Elephas maximus indicus: one gene and its partner. The protein of the gene in region 2 purifies or fractionates together with the protein of the main gene of each other region. This does not show direct contact. Links are inferred from orthologs where the notes say so. Each region holds a gene or a part of one and is shown on either strand. Other genes may lie near its edges.

The links. Proteins that work in one complex are often made in the same cells at the same time.
Region 1: the proteins of PRKACA (region 2) and CDK5RAP2 purify together in Homo sapiens (affinity purification with mass spectrometry; 6 studies listed by BioGRID and IntAct, with this or other methods). This does not show direct contact. The link is inferred for Elephas maximus indicus from reciprocal best matches to the Homo sapiens genes PRKACA and CDK5RAP2.

The regions. Positions count from the first base shown.
Region 1 is NC_064827.1:70,482,774-70,490,546, forward strand, and holds the start of CDK5RAP2 (CDK5 regulatory subunit-associated protein 2), read right to left. Parts: upstream 3,019-7,773; 5' UTR 2,829-3,018; coding exon 2,773-2,828; intron 2,473-2,772; exon of another isoform or gene 1-2,472. UniProt on the Homo sapiens protein: Potential regulator of CDK5 activity via its interaction with CDK5R1. Negative regulator of centriole disengagement (licensing) which maintains centriole engagement and cohesion. Involved in regulation of mitotic spindle orientation.
Region 2 is NC_064821.1:32,762,631-32,769,528, forward strand, and holds the start of PRKACA (cAMP-dependent protein kinase catalytic subunit alpha), read right to left. Parts: upstream 3,011-6,898; 5' UTR 2,945-3,010; coding exon 2,899-2,944; intron 1-2,898. Other genes in the region: histone chaperone ASF1B, read right to left, coding at 5,883-6,089, 6,430-6,606.

The DNA of each region.
Region 1 (7,773 bases), on a different chromosome or scaffold from region 2:
CTTAGCCTCAGTGTCCTCAACTGCAAAAGGGGGATTACACTGTCACCTCAAAGGAGCATTGTTTATTCGGTGATTCAACAAGGAGTTACTGAACCCCTATTACATGTATTAAAAAAAAAAAAACCAGTGCCGTCGAGTCGATTCCAACTCATAGCAACCGTATAGGACAGAGTAGAACTGCCCCATAGAGTTTCCAAGGAGTGCCTGGCGGATTCGAACTGCCAACCCTTTGGTTTGCAGCTGTAGCACTTAACCACTACACCGCCATGGTTTATATAAAATGCAGTCCCTATTCTCAAACAGGTCACAGGATAATATAGGAGACGGGCCATTTAACAGTCGATAACTGTGCTGCCCAGTACAGGAGCCACCAGCAATATGTGGCCAATGAGCACTTGAGAAGTGGTTAGTCCAAACTGCAAAGTACTATAAGGGTAAAATACACACTGGATTTCAAAGACTTAGTAAGACAGAATGTAACATCTCATTAATAATTTTTTCTACTGATTTCAAGTTAGAATGATAATATATGTACATGTTGGGTTAAATAAAATATATTAAAATTAATGTTACTTGTTTCTTTTTTAATGTGGCCACCAGAAAACTTTAAGTTACATATATAGCTCACATATGTTTCCAGTGCATAGTGCTGGTCAGTAAAATTCCGTGAAGTAAATAAGGCCTGGGATAGGGTAAATTATGGGTGGGACTGCCTAAAAGAGTAGAAGGCCCAGGTGGGGATGGGGAAATGTCAATGAAGTCTTCCTGGCAACGACATCTAAACTGAGACCTGAAAAAAAACAGGCATTGATAAGGCAAAAGGAAGAAGGAAGGACAATCCAGGCAGCAGGATCAGCAAGCACACAGGCCTAGCAGCAAGAAAGGAAAAGGCAAGATCATTCGTAACCAAGAGTTTGGCAGTGTGGGGAGAAGTCAGGGTAGGGAGAGTAAGGGTAGAGGAGGCTAGAGAGGAAGACAGGGCCAGATTATGAAACCCTTGGAAGCTGTATTAAAAAACTATACCCTCAGGGCAGAGAGTAGTCAGTGGGGGTCTGAAGCAGGGAAGTAAGAGATTAGTAAGAGACCCAGGAGTGTTTCGGGCAACGGCAAGGAGAGAAGGGAGGCGAGGACATTTGCTGATCTGGGTCGCACACTGGGCTAGGCCCCTTCATACTCATTTTAATCGTTATACCAACCCTGGGATTTATACCAGCCCATCTTACAGATGATGAAAACTGAGGCTCACAGAGTGCAAATGCCCTGCCCAAGGTCCCAGGGCTGTTAAGTGGCAGAGCTAGGATTGAAATCCAGACTACTTTGGGTCCCAAAGCCAAAGTACTTGACCAGCAGCACCGTCTTGAGAAGAGTTGTCTGAGAGAGTGATAATGGACTTTACCTTAAGGGCAATGAGAAGGACTAACAAGCATAAAGCAGCAGACTGTCAAAAGCAGATTTACATTTTTAAGAGTTTTTAGGCTATAATATAAAGGACTATTGGAGGTGTGAAGGAGGCCTCAACAATCCAGGTGACAGGCAATACCCCAATATGTTGGGGTAGTTACAGTAAGATAGAGAATAAAAAACTACCAAAAGGATGAAATCAGGTTGCAGCTGCAAAGGGCCTTGCTCTGTGCCTGATATACAGTAGGCTCTCAACAAACAGCATAACCACTTTTCCAGGTTTGCCCAAGATAGGACCTGTTCACGCCTGCTGTCCCAGCATAAATATCAACAGTGCCCTTAGAAGCATCCTGGTTTGCACAATAAATTACATGGTCACCTTTCAATTAAGACCTGCTAACTAAAAGCAGCAGCCTGTTCCTTGCAGAGCTGAAGAAACACTGAAGGTTCTTACTCAGGTTCTCGTCCATTTCCTTCTACCCATTCTCCAATCAGGAGCCTGAGACCTGATGCAGTTCAGAGCTGTCAGGCCTTCCTACCAGAAGGTGAGACCCATGGCTCCAGCAACAAACAACGTGGACTCCAAAAGCCTCTTGGGCCAGGTCCATTGGGAGGCCAGTCTTGGCCATTATTCCCCAAGTTGTGTTATTATTAACGATAATAACGGCACCACACGATCACTTTTTAAGCACTAATTATGTGCCAGGCACTAGACTTGTCAAGCAAACTGCAGGGCAGGCATCATCTCTTTTAATCCTCACAGCAATCCTGTTAGGTGGATATTACTACTATCCCCATTTTACAGATGGGAAAGCAGATTACTGGCACTTTACCAAGGTTACACCGCTAGTCAGTTTGGATTTGCGCTGGATTTGAATCCAAATCTGCCCAACTCCAGTTCAGTCTCTCAACCACTGCACTCCACTGCCTCAATCTTGGGTGGCCACTATAACGCCCTATGCACAAAGACTGGACGTATCGATTACACTCCCCATAATGAAAGCAAACCCCCACACCAGAATGAACCATCAAGTCCCTTCAAGGTCCCTGCTGAGGGCGCCACATCCCCCAACCAGCCCCTACTAACGGCCCCCTCCTCCTGCTCTTTCAGAAAACCCCTTACTGGTGCCTCACAGCCTCCTCAAATTAAGACTCTGAAATACTAGAGGTAGCTGTGGTCGGGACCCTCACACACAGTATCAGCTGGTGGGCCCCTCACAGAGATACCCTAAGGAACCCAAACAACACACGGCTTCTATCCGGAGATGCTCAAACACCCCAAGAGCAAACCCCCAAGGCCGGGTTAGAGCAAACCCCCATCAGTTGGAAAACCAGCCCAGTTACCGCGAACCACCAGCGCCCGGGCCGCACCTGCAGCCGCTGAGAGTCCCGGGGAGAGTGACGTCCTCCTCCAACGCCGAGTCCATCACGGACACAGAGACGGTGGTGGCGTTGATGTCTCTAGTGGCGGCTTCACTGGTCCCCCCTCGTTGTCGCGCGACCCGCCCGAGTCCCCGAGGTCCCCGCCCTCTCCGACCCAGCTCTTGTTCGGATTCTGGCGGCGCCGCGGAATTCAAACCGCAGCCGCCGCCATCATTCCCGGCTCTTCTTCCTACGGAAACGAGGCGGAGTCACCAGGGCGTGCACAGTGAAGCCAGCCGTCCGGAGCCAGAAGCCGGGCAGAGACGCGCAAGCAGGCGCCATCTTAACTAAGGGCAGAGCCCCCCCCCCCGTTTGGGCGAGTAAGGCTAGGCAGAGAGAGGCCAGCTGCCATTTTTTATGAGGGCAATCAGATCTATGCCAGCGCAGGCGCCATCTTTATTTAGGGCTCGAAGCTGCCCCTGATCCGTTAATTTAAGCGGGATATGCGAATACAGGGCCCTACTAACCCACAGGGTTCTGGACCTGGTACCCGAAGCTTGAGGTGTGTGCATCCAAACGGCTTCTGCCTTGAGTTGAAACTCAAATAATCGGGTACTGCCTCGTGTTAGAAAATCCTACATGTGGAATTCCAACTCAAACAGTAATTTGCAAGCTTAGTTTGAAGCAAATAAACTCATCCCTGTGAGCCAAATGGTTAGCTACACTCGCACTCCAATCCTTTACCTAGCGATCATTTGTTGCCTTTAGGGCTCAGACATGTCTAAGATCGGTTGACTGAGGCCCAGAGAGAGGAAATGACTTACCCAAAGTCATACACAGTAAGTTTGTCAGTTGGAACCAGATCCTCAGCTCCTACCAACTAAATCAGGGCTCTCCATAATCCCTTGCTGCCTCTCCTAAAGTACATAATAACCACTAAACACCTAGGTAATTTCGGTAATGGTTGTCCAGCGAAATTCCCGTCTCAGTGCTGCTACCTTCTTCTGCAGGCTGTTAAAAGAGTCCTGGATGAAAACCATTTGGAAAGATAGGTGCGTGGATGGACGGTGACTTTTCCTGCAACCATGAACAAGTCCCCTCTTGGCCCCAGTTTCCTCATTCTTGCATTTAAGTGTGACTTTCTAAAAGAGGCCTTCCCTGATCCTGTAATCAAAATCAGGTCCCTCTCTTGGATGTTCTTAGAAACCCATATTCTTCCTTTGTAGCACTTGCTATGTGTGTTTTTAATGTCTTCCTCTTCCACTAAACTGGAAGCTGCATGAGGGCAGGAACTGTATTCTGAATTGTTCACTGCTATATCCCCATCACCTAGTATTGTGCCTGCCACCTAGTAGGGGTTTTTAAATATATGTTAAGTGGATGAAGAGTCAATAAATATGGAAAATGGGACTAACACCTATCCTTCAAGATTTTCATATGACCTGAGTATCTTTTGGAGGTCAGTCAGTGGTAATCCCACATTCATTCATTTTCTCTGTTTTCTCTCTCCTCTCTTCTCCCTCCTCTCCTTCCTCCTGCCTCCCTCTCTGTCTCTTGTTGAGGACAACAAGGCCCACAGTTCTGCACCTGATCTTTCCCAGGCCTTCAACCATGATCAGCAATAAGAAAACAAAAAACGGTTGGGCAGGAACTAGATGGCACAGCACTTATGCCCTGCCCCAGAGAAGGGGCATTCCTTGAAGCCCTGGAACTGACACTCCTTTCCAGTGTTAATTTCAATGGATGAAATGAGTATTCCAAAAGCAGGGAAGCTGGGGTGTCAGGGTTCCTATCCTGGCTCTGCTATGGACTCTCTGTGATCTTTGGCAGACCACTTCTCTTGTGGCCTCAGTTTCCAACATCTTTAAAATGAGAAGGTTGGACTGGATGGGCCTCTCAGGACCTCACAGCTCTAGAGGTTATTTTTCTGTGTTTATTTCAGAGCTATTAACACAAAGCCTGTTGGTGCCATGTTTAAGAGCTGGGCTGCTAACCGAAAGATCGGTAGTTTGAATTCACCAGGCGCTCCTTGGAAACCCTATGGGGCAGTTCTACTCTGTCCTATAGGGTCACTATGAGTTGGAGTCTACTCCACAGCAATGGGTTTTGTTTTTTTTAACACAAGACTAGGGGCCAGTGGTGGTTCCGTGGTAGAATTCTCACCTTCCATATGGGAGACCCAGGTTCCATTCCCAGCCAGTACAGTACAGCTCGTGTGGAGCCACCACTTCTCTGTCAGTGGAGGTTTTGTGTATTGCTATGATGCTAAACAGGTTTTAGTGGAACATCCAGGCTAAGATGGACTAGAAAGAAAGGCCTGGAGATCTACTTTTAAAATGAACCAGTGAATCACCAGTGAAATTGCAATATAATTTTTTTTTTTAATAAATAAAATGTTTTTAAAAAATAGACAACAGATAAGTAGTAACTTTGGTGAAGGGTAAGATAGTACACAATACTGGGGAAGCCAGCACAACCTGTCCAAGGCAAGGTCTTGGAAGCTCCATAGACACACCCAAACTCCCTGAGGGACCGAATTGCTGGGCCAAGCACTGTGGGGACCATGGCCTGAGGGAACATCTAGCTCAACTGGCATAACATAGTTTATAAAGAAAATGTTCTACATTCTACTTTTTAAAAGCCTTTGAGTGGCCATACTCCACTGATCTCACCCCTTCGGGAGCAGGGAAGAATGAAGAAAACTAAAAACACAAGGGAAAGATTAGTCCAAAGGACTAATGGGTCACATCTAACACAGCCTCCACCAGACTGAGTCCAGTACAACTAGATGGTGCCCAGCTATCACCACTGACTGCTCTGCCAGGGATCACAATAGAGAGTCCTGGACAGAGCTGGAGAAAAATGTAGAACAAAATTCTAACTCAAAAAGAAAGACCAGACTTGCTGGCCTGACAGACTGGAGAAACCCTGAGAGTATGGTCCCCGCACACCCTTTCAGCTCAGGAATGAGGTCACTCCTGAGGTTCACCCTTCATCCAAAGATTGAACAGGCTCCTGGAACAAAACAAGACTAAAAGGGCGTGCCAGCACTGGAGCATGGACTGGAAGGCAGGAGAGAACAGGAAAGCTGGTAATAAGGAACCCAGGGTTGAGAAGGGAGAGTGTTGACATGTCGTGGGGTTGTTAACCAATGTCATACAACAAGGTAGTGTTTGATGAGAAACTAGTTTGTTCTGTAAACCTTCATCTAAAGTACAACAAAAAAAAAGGAAAAGAAATAAAGTAAATAAAATATTTTTTAAAAACCTATGGATCACCACTAAAACCACAATGAAATATTATTTAAAAAAATAAATAAGGTAAATAAAATTTTAAAAAAACACCCTATGGATCACAATGCTTTCTTTGATCTGCAGTCAATCATGAGAATGGCACAGGACCAGGCAGTGTTTTATTCCTTTGTGCACAGAGTCATCGTGAGGTAGGGGCCTACTTGGCAGCAGCTATATGAACCAACTCTATTCTGATGAGAGAGGCTGAGAATAATAATCATCAGTTCCCAAATGAAGGAACTAGCTTTTCACTTAGCAGATGAAAGCTTTTGAGAAAGGAAATAAGGAAGAGAACTCACGCATTTTGAGCATCTATGTGTCACTTACGCCAGACATACCACATGTACCACCTCATTTAACCTCACAACAAAGCTCCAGAGTAGGTACTACTATTCTCCCCACTGTACCTACAGATGAGAAGACTGGGGCTCAAAGAGGTAAAAATAACTTGCTCCTGTAACAAAATGAGGGTTCTTGTCCTGTCCTATTAGCCAAACGAAATAAGACAGATGCCACACCACCAGTTGCAAGGGAAACTGAAGGTGGAGATTTATTGTCTGCACAGACAAGGAGCAATGCAGGGTCTATTGATCATAAGGCCACGTGTTCACTGTCTGAGGGGGTTGGGGAGTTTTCTATTTCCAATGGAGTCTGGGGGTTGGGGTTGGTGCCTGGAACTCTCTGCCCTTAGCCCTCCCACATCCCTATTTGGAGGTGGGGATGTTGAATCACATCAGTGATGTTCAGGTGCAAGGACAGATTGAGGACACAGCTCTTCAGGTCCTGTGCACGTGCCAAAACCTTGGTTCATGCATGCACAGGATTCTGGCACCAAACTCAAACTGTGGCTAAGGCCGCAGCGTGCCAAACCACAGTAGAAGCTGCAAGGGATGCGGGGAACCGCGGCAGAGCTGGGGGAGCAGGGGAAAGTCTTGGCGGAGGCTTCATTCCCACTACGGGTATGTGGCAGAGTTGAGATTTGAGCCAAGGTCTCTCTAACACTAATTGTTTCAGGTAGCCTGTCTTCCCTATTTGCTTTTCTCCACTTTAGAATTCAGTATTAAAAGGTGAGGTGTACATCCAGACAACAATATTTCAGTGATGGTGCTCACCAGACTACTTGAGCAACTGCTTCAAACTGGCTAAGAGACTAATCTTAGTGTAGGCAGTATGATTGCAAGGCTAGAAGTCTGAACCTGATCTCTGACTCTGAAAACTCCTCCAGATTGTCCCATGACTTGGGATCCCTTCCCTCTGCTAGACCTTGGTTTTCCCATGCATAAAATGAGGAAGGCAATGCTGAGCTCAAACGGATGCATTATCTAATTAGATACTTTGGAAACTAACCCACAAAAAAAATGAAAGTATAAAGGAGAAAAACCTTGTGAGGAGTTCTTATTACAATTAGTCCATTTCCCTGGATTATGTGCTAAGCCCATTGGTGAACCCGGAAACTGAAAATAGTACCATTTGGACAAAGGATATGCTATGTGGAAAGTTGTTTTTCTGCTACTGTAGTAGTTTCAGGGTCAGGGCAGAGGCCTTTGCCCCATCTCTGTCTCACCATGGACTTTCTTTCTGCCAAGCCTGGAGGCAACGTCACTAACACCAGCTGTTTGTGCTATCTGGAGCCATCTCCTTGAGGCAACGTCACTAACACCAGCTGTTTGTGCTATCTGGAGCCATCTCCTTGACGACAGCCACCCAGCCACAATGC
Region 2 (6,898 bases):
GAGGCATTTTTTTCACTTTCAGTGCCTGTACTGGTTTCTCTCGGAGGCTTGGGGAGTATCTGGGGGGCTTCTCGCTAGCTCTGCTCCTTCCCCTGTGGCCAACTCCCAGGGGTGTCCTCTGCCAGCACCAGCCCAGAGGTTGCTGCCCTATCTCAATTCCTCCAGCCTGGCCAGAGCCTGAGACTTCGGTCATTTTTCTCTGCCCTCCTGGCCCCTGCCAATGGTTTAGCATCTTTGGGTGCAGATTCCCCACCCCCACCCCATGGCTCATTCTGGATCTCCGGAGAGGCAGACCTTGTTCTGTCCTGCCCTGGCATGGAGATGAGGGTGTAGGGGGCTGCAGGATACTTAACTGGTACCTAGTGAGGCTTGGGCATTTTCCTTACAGTCGGGCTGGCGTGTGGCAGATGAAATTCAGGTGCCCCCTGCAGGCTTGCCTGGCTACTGCCCCTGCCCCGCCCTGGTTAGAAGAGGACAAATTTAGTGTAACTCCATCCTCTCAGTTTCAGAGCTTCCAAGCAAAGAGGGGCCTCTTTCCCCATCCTATCTCCTTCTCTAGAAGCCCCTGCAAGGCTCGGGGAGGAAGTACAGCTTAGACTGTTTCCCAAAGTGTGACACTGGTCCCACTGGCTGAATGTGGAGTACGCGATGTTTCATTTTTCTAATTACATATGTATTTTAATTTGTGTCAGGGAAAATATATCTGGCCCAGCAATGCCATGACTTCATTTACATTACTGCTCAAGATGGGGTCAAAGTTTACGTCTGAAGAAAAGTGAGTTGTTTTTATTATTTTAAATTAAGAAAGTTTAAGTGACTAAAGCAAAAATCAGGGAGGCGAGTTGAGAATGTCTGAGTTGTGCACTTATGGGATCCAGGCGGATCTGGATGTGAATCCTGCCCCTGTGACGTCACCTACGTCAAACTGAGCAAGTCCATTTGGAAAATTCGGCTAATAGCCCATTATGAGTATCACCTGAGCAGATCGATGGAGGCTGTTTAACCTGGCACACACTAGATGCCCAATACACAGTGGCTCTATTTCCTTGTGACAGTCCATTCCTGGGTGTCTTTTGGTCTGTGCTCTGAGAGAATTAGCAGTTCCTTCCGGAGCCTTTTGGGGATCCTTTTCCCCTTGTGGCTTCCCACCTCCCCGCCGCACGTGCTTGGTACACTCTGAAGGTTTTCCGGGACTATGTCATCTTCCCAACTTTCAACTGAGCCACTGCAATATATAGCTGCCTGCCTCCACCTGCCACCTCCCAGCAGCCTCACCTGCTGAGAGCTGGCCCCTCCCCCTCTTCCCAGTCCCCTCCATGCTCAGGCCCAGACCTTTTTTGGACACTACCCACCTGCTCCTCTGTCATCAAGCGCTCAACTACAGGCACTTGCCTCCCTGTCCCCCGCCCATCGGTGACATGTCAGGCCTCCCCGTGGACGCCTGGTTCCTCTGAGTTCTGCTATTTGTAGGAATAAAGTTCCCTGGTTTGCAGGCCCAGGTCTTTCTGGGAGGGGGCATTCAGGGAACTCACGCTGTTGTTTGAGACCAGGAACTAGGGACAGCGTAGTTGGACACGAGCTCCCTTCTCAGCTCTATTTCTGGGTAACTGGAAGGGACTCTCAGGTGGGGTCTAGCTTTAGGCCTGAGTGACAATTGAGGAGCTGGAGGAACTGGGGAGGGGGCTCGAGGCCATTTCTGAAAGCAGTTCCAGATGTGGAATCTCTCTCTCTGGCTTGAAAAGGCCAGCACAATGTGAGGGTGGGAGGGAAAGAAACAAGCCTGTGGCTGGGCCTTGGGAATGACCAGAATCTGTCTGTCCGTTGGCAAAACAAGGCACTAGATGTCACCCACTACTCTCCCCAACTGCCCCATCCCCTTTCTCACCAGCCCAGCTCAAGCCGAATGAGCCCTTGCTAAAGCCAGGCACTCTTCGCCCCCCCACTTTTCATCCAGCGCCAGGAGCGGGTGAAGCAGCCCAGGGGACCTGGTGAATGACGGAGCCTTAGTTGTGAAACAACCATTTATTGAGGGGCCCCCTCCAAGAGCCTGGAGCTAGGCTGCCCAGCAGGAAAGCGGAAGGGGCTCTGCAGCTGCCCCCACTCCCACCCCACCCCCTGCAAAAGAGGATGCAATGAATCCCAGGAAGACTGGCTCAAATTTGTCTTTGGAAGCACTGAAGCAGTTCCCTAGCTTCATAAACAGCCTGCTCTCCCAGCCAGGGGCAGGCGCTTACTTGGAGGAGGGAGCAGAGTGGCAGAGAGTGACAGAACAAGAGAGGGGCAGAGGGACCCAGAAAGATCCTGTCCCCCATGCCAAGTGACACAGAAGAGAAAAACAATGCTGGAGGTGGCTTCAGGGGAAATGCTCAAGGATGGCAGGGGGCTGGGATAAGGTGAAAAGGGAAAGGGCAGGAGAAAGATGGCGGGGGCTGGAGGGGGGGAGGGGTGTGGTCACCAAGTGGCCAAGGTCCCTCTGGGGTGGAAGCAGACCCCACAGCACTCCCAGACTGCCAACTCTGAGTCGGGGTCTAGCAGTGCGTCCCATCTCTGTGAGTGGTGAGTGAGAAAGTGGGGGGATTAGAATTTGGGGAGATGGGCCAGGAAGAGAGGGGGTGGTGACAGGGCTCCATGTGGGGCCCCAGCGGTCATACGTGCCATGGTTGGCAGTGACAGCTGGGTGGGGGGGCACTGCCTTTGCAGTCGGGGGCGGCCTTTGGCAGGGGTGCCCCTATGGGAGGTCTCCTGCGGGCCTTCGGGCCCCAGCCTTGGACAGGCAGGGGCGCTGGGGAGAAGGAGCGAAGAATGGGGGGGGTGCGTGGGGGAGGGGCCACGCGGTGATGGACAAGGAGGGGGCTGGCAGAGCGGGGCCGCGATCGGGGTCACGGCCCGGGCACTCACCGCTCTCCTGCTCGCTGCCCTTCTTGGCGGCGGCGGCGTTGCCCATCGCGGCGGCGGCGGCCCGGGCCAGTCCCGGAGCTGCGGCGCGGGGGGTGCTGGCGGCGGCCGGCGGCCCCGGAGCGCGCTGGGCGGCGGCGGCGGCGGCCCCTTGGGCTGGCTGCGCTGGCTGCGGCGCCGCGACCCCCGCCCAGCCCCTGCTTCCCGCGTCCCTCCGCGCCCGCCCGCCCGGGAACCTCAGCCCAAGTCCGCTGCTGCTGTCCGTGACGCCCCCGCAGCCCACCGCCCATTGGCCAGCGCCACCCTGACTGACGGCGCCGCGCCGCTGTCTATTGGCCCGCCACGACCCTTCCGCGCCGCCATAGGCTCTCGACCCCCTGACGCGCTCCGAGGATGCTCCGCCAGTCGCGCGGTCGCGAGGCCCTAGCTGGGCGGGCAGACGAGCCTAATTGGCTGAGGCGCGCGACAGGGCCCGGGGCCCGCCCAGGGCGGGCGCCGATTGGCGGAGGCGAGCGGTCCGGCAGGCCTCCTGCAGAACCTCAAGTGTCAATCCCGGGGTGAGAGGGCGGGGCGGAGGCTCAGTCCGCTGTCCAGGCCCGAGCGGCAGGCGGGGCGGCCAAGCTTGGTCGGAGGCCGCACCGCGCTCGGAAGCCCACGAGGCGGCCCGGAGGCACCGGACGGCCCCGTGCGCGCCGCAGTCCCCCGCCCCTGCCCAGTGCGGCAGCGGGCGCCGGCCAGCCAAGTTTGGCGCCGCGGGCCGCCGGCGCAGCCGCTGTCCACCTACCCGGGGGGAGGGGCGCGGCCGGCGCCGAGGGTCAGAGGTCGCCGGGCCGCCGGCCACCGTCATTCATAAGGGCTGGTGTTGGGCAGCAGCGGCCAGGCCGCCCGGGGTCGCCTCCAGCCACAGCCCAAGCATCAGAAGGATGCTGGGCTCCGGGAGCAAGGGGGCGGCTGAGAGGGGCACGCAGTGTCCACCCTTTGCTGGGCGCCCACCCTGGGCTCGTACCAGCAGAGAGTTGGCACTGGTTCACCTTATTACTTCGCACAACATTCCTATCATGTAGGCACTATTATCCCCATTGTACAGCCAAGGAATCGGGGGCACAGCCAGGCCTCCTGGATTCAGATTCCCTGCTGGTAATCACCACTCTGCATTCCTTTTGTCTGGAGAATGCAAAGGGAACCTACCCTCCCGGAGGATAGAAGGGGCAAGATGTCCTTCTTTAGGGTGCCCTTTTAATATATCACAGCCTGAGGATGACAGTAGAGCTGGGTTTACCAATGCTACCCGACTGACATTTGGGGCTGGATGCTTGGTGTGGGGGCGGGGGGCTGTCTGGCTTCTACCCACGAGGTACCAGAAGCACATACTTCCTCCCTCCTGCCCCCACTGCTTACAGCCAAAGTCTCCAGAAATTGAGTTGAGAACCACTGAAGTGGAGGAAGGCCCCCACATGAGGTGCCAAGAGAGGCTGGGGGCTGGACCAGCCAGCTCCCCTACTTTGGAGGGACTAGTCCAGTCTCAAGTCCACAAGCTGACTCATTGCTCTGCTTATGGACTTGGGCTAACTGCACACAGTTGTCTGCACGTCTCCTCTCAGGCTGACCACCAGCCCCAGGGAGGGAGAGTTTGGGCTTCTCTGAAATACGGGAAAAAGGCTGGCCAGCCAAATACTAGTGCAGGCTGTGGAGTTACATAGTAAGGTTAAGTTGGATTTAATCAAGTGTGGCTTTGTGTATATACTTGGATCACAATGTAAAAGTTAATTTCTTCTTGTGGGCCAGGGTCAAAGTCTGAAATCACTGTTCATCTCTATCTCCAGATTTGACACTCTCCCCAAAACTTAGTCTGGAATACAACTATACAACCAGCTAGAACTGGAGTAAGAAGTCAAGCAAGGGGGCAAGGGACACCCAACTCACTGAGTGGAGGAAGAGGCCAACCCCACCATTAGGAGGATAGGATGGATGGAGCTGTCCCTGCTCGCCTGAGACAGAAGCAGAAACAGCCTCAATGAAGTGCTTTTTATTTTTAGCGCAACCAAACATTTTTAATATAAAAACCCTTTAATATACAAACTGCAATCACAACAGCATCCATGTAGCAGCGAGGGGATAGGGCAGAGGTGGAGAGCATTCCGGGGAGGGAAGATTTTCAGGATCCTGACAGCTTCCCTTGCCCACACTCACCTGTGGCCCATGAGTGTGTGCAGTCTTGGCAGAGGACAGGTCAAGGCTGGCAGAGGTAGAGGGGCTTGATGCCAACGCCAAAACAGAGCACAGCAGACCCTTCCAACATGCGACCTCCCCACCACTGAAGTCTCTAGAGAATGCCAGGTCCAGTTAAGAGGTAACAGGAAGGTGGCTGTGACTGAGAAGAGAGGCACCTGCTGGTCACACCTTTAGGAGCTGCGTTTTCTAGAGGCTGCTGGGTTGGGAAGAACCAAAAATCTGGGGAGGACAGACATTGTATCTGAGTCCACATCCGAACCAGGATTCCTTGCCTGTGACTCCAGAAAGCTGGGGGCTCTGTTCAGATGTTTGGGAAGGGGAAGGAATGGCAGAGCCTTTGATCCAAAAGGGCTGGAGCCTCGCCAGGCACTGACCAAGAAAGCCTCAGGCAGGCCCAGGAGGTCTGTGGGAAGCAGCTTTGGGTCAGTGGTACTCAAGGGAGCACAATGGCCTCCAGGTGAATTTATAGTGTGTGTGGAACAGTGAAAGGGGATAGTCAGAAAGAATGAAGAACTAAGTACCTCCTTCTTACAGGCCTGTGGAGTAGATGTGAGATGATCCTTCTGGGCCAGGGCTGGGAAAGACCCAGGGCCTGTTCTTTCCATGGGGCCCAGTCTGATTCGATGTAGGTGACAGCCCCAAAGTTCTCCAGATGTCCCACATGACTCTCCAGGAGGCCCAGGTGCCTCCTCCAGGTGTGCCAGGAAACTGGTCTGGGTCCTGGCTGAGCCCAGCCAGGGCCTGAGCTCCCAAAGTTAGATGCAGTCCATGGAATTCTCAGGGAGCAGGCCAGGGATGCAGCCAGGAAGGCCCAGGCCCTTGACAGGAGTGCAGCTGAGGGGGAGGCCGCTGCTCAGTGAAAGGTCCTGGTTGTCGATGGCCTCCAACCTGTCTGTGTTGTTGTCCCAGTTGATGTGAAAGCGGGTCACCCGGGGGTTGGAAGCCAAGATGTTCCGCTGGAGCTGGGGCAGGAAAAGGAGCATCAAGTCTTGTCACGTGCCCCCTGTTACTCCCCCAGAGCCAGGGCAACCCCAGCTGCCACCCCAAGCCCAGGAAGAACAGGCCCTGCTTAGTTCACCAACCATATACGGAACTTCAGGGGAAGGCCCTGTGCTACCGCTTAGCACTACCTACTCTCAGCTCCGAGGCATGTCTCTGGAAACAAAGACCCTTTCTTTCCTAGCCTGGCTCTGCAAGAATCGAGCATGACTGAAAACCCGGGCTCCCAATTCTAATGACTCAACTCCCCCAGTGTGAAGGGGCCACCTGGTTGAAGCAGGAAAGTGCAGAGACAGCCCCTACCTGAGAAAAGTCTGGCTTCAGTGGTGGGTTCTCCCGCAGCTCAGGGTTGGGGTACTCGTTGTTGACGTAGTAGCCCACGCGGATGAACTCCTGCCCATGGTAGGTGCAGGTGATGAGGACCACGGTCACACCCACGGCATCGGTCTCAGGAATGAGGGATGGATTGGGGGCATCGGCCTAGGGGAAACACATCCTGGGCCTTAGCATGCAATAGTTGATGGATGTTAACAATGATTCCTGAGCAACAGGGATTTACCGAGCAAAAAGTATGGTCTCTGTCCTCAGAAGTTTACAATCTAATGAAGCAAACAGAGAATCAATCACACAAACGACTGTAAAATTTTGAATGTGACAGGTACCGGGAGGTGTTTACCAGATGTTTCCAGCAGAGGTCCTGAGGCATCAGGAAGCTACTTGGTGTGGGCAGTGAGCAAGGCAAAGGTGGTATAGGTTGGCAGTGGGGACTAGA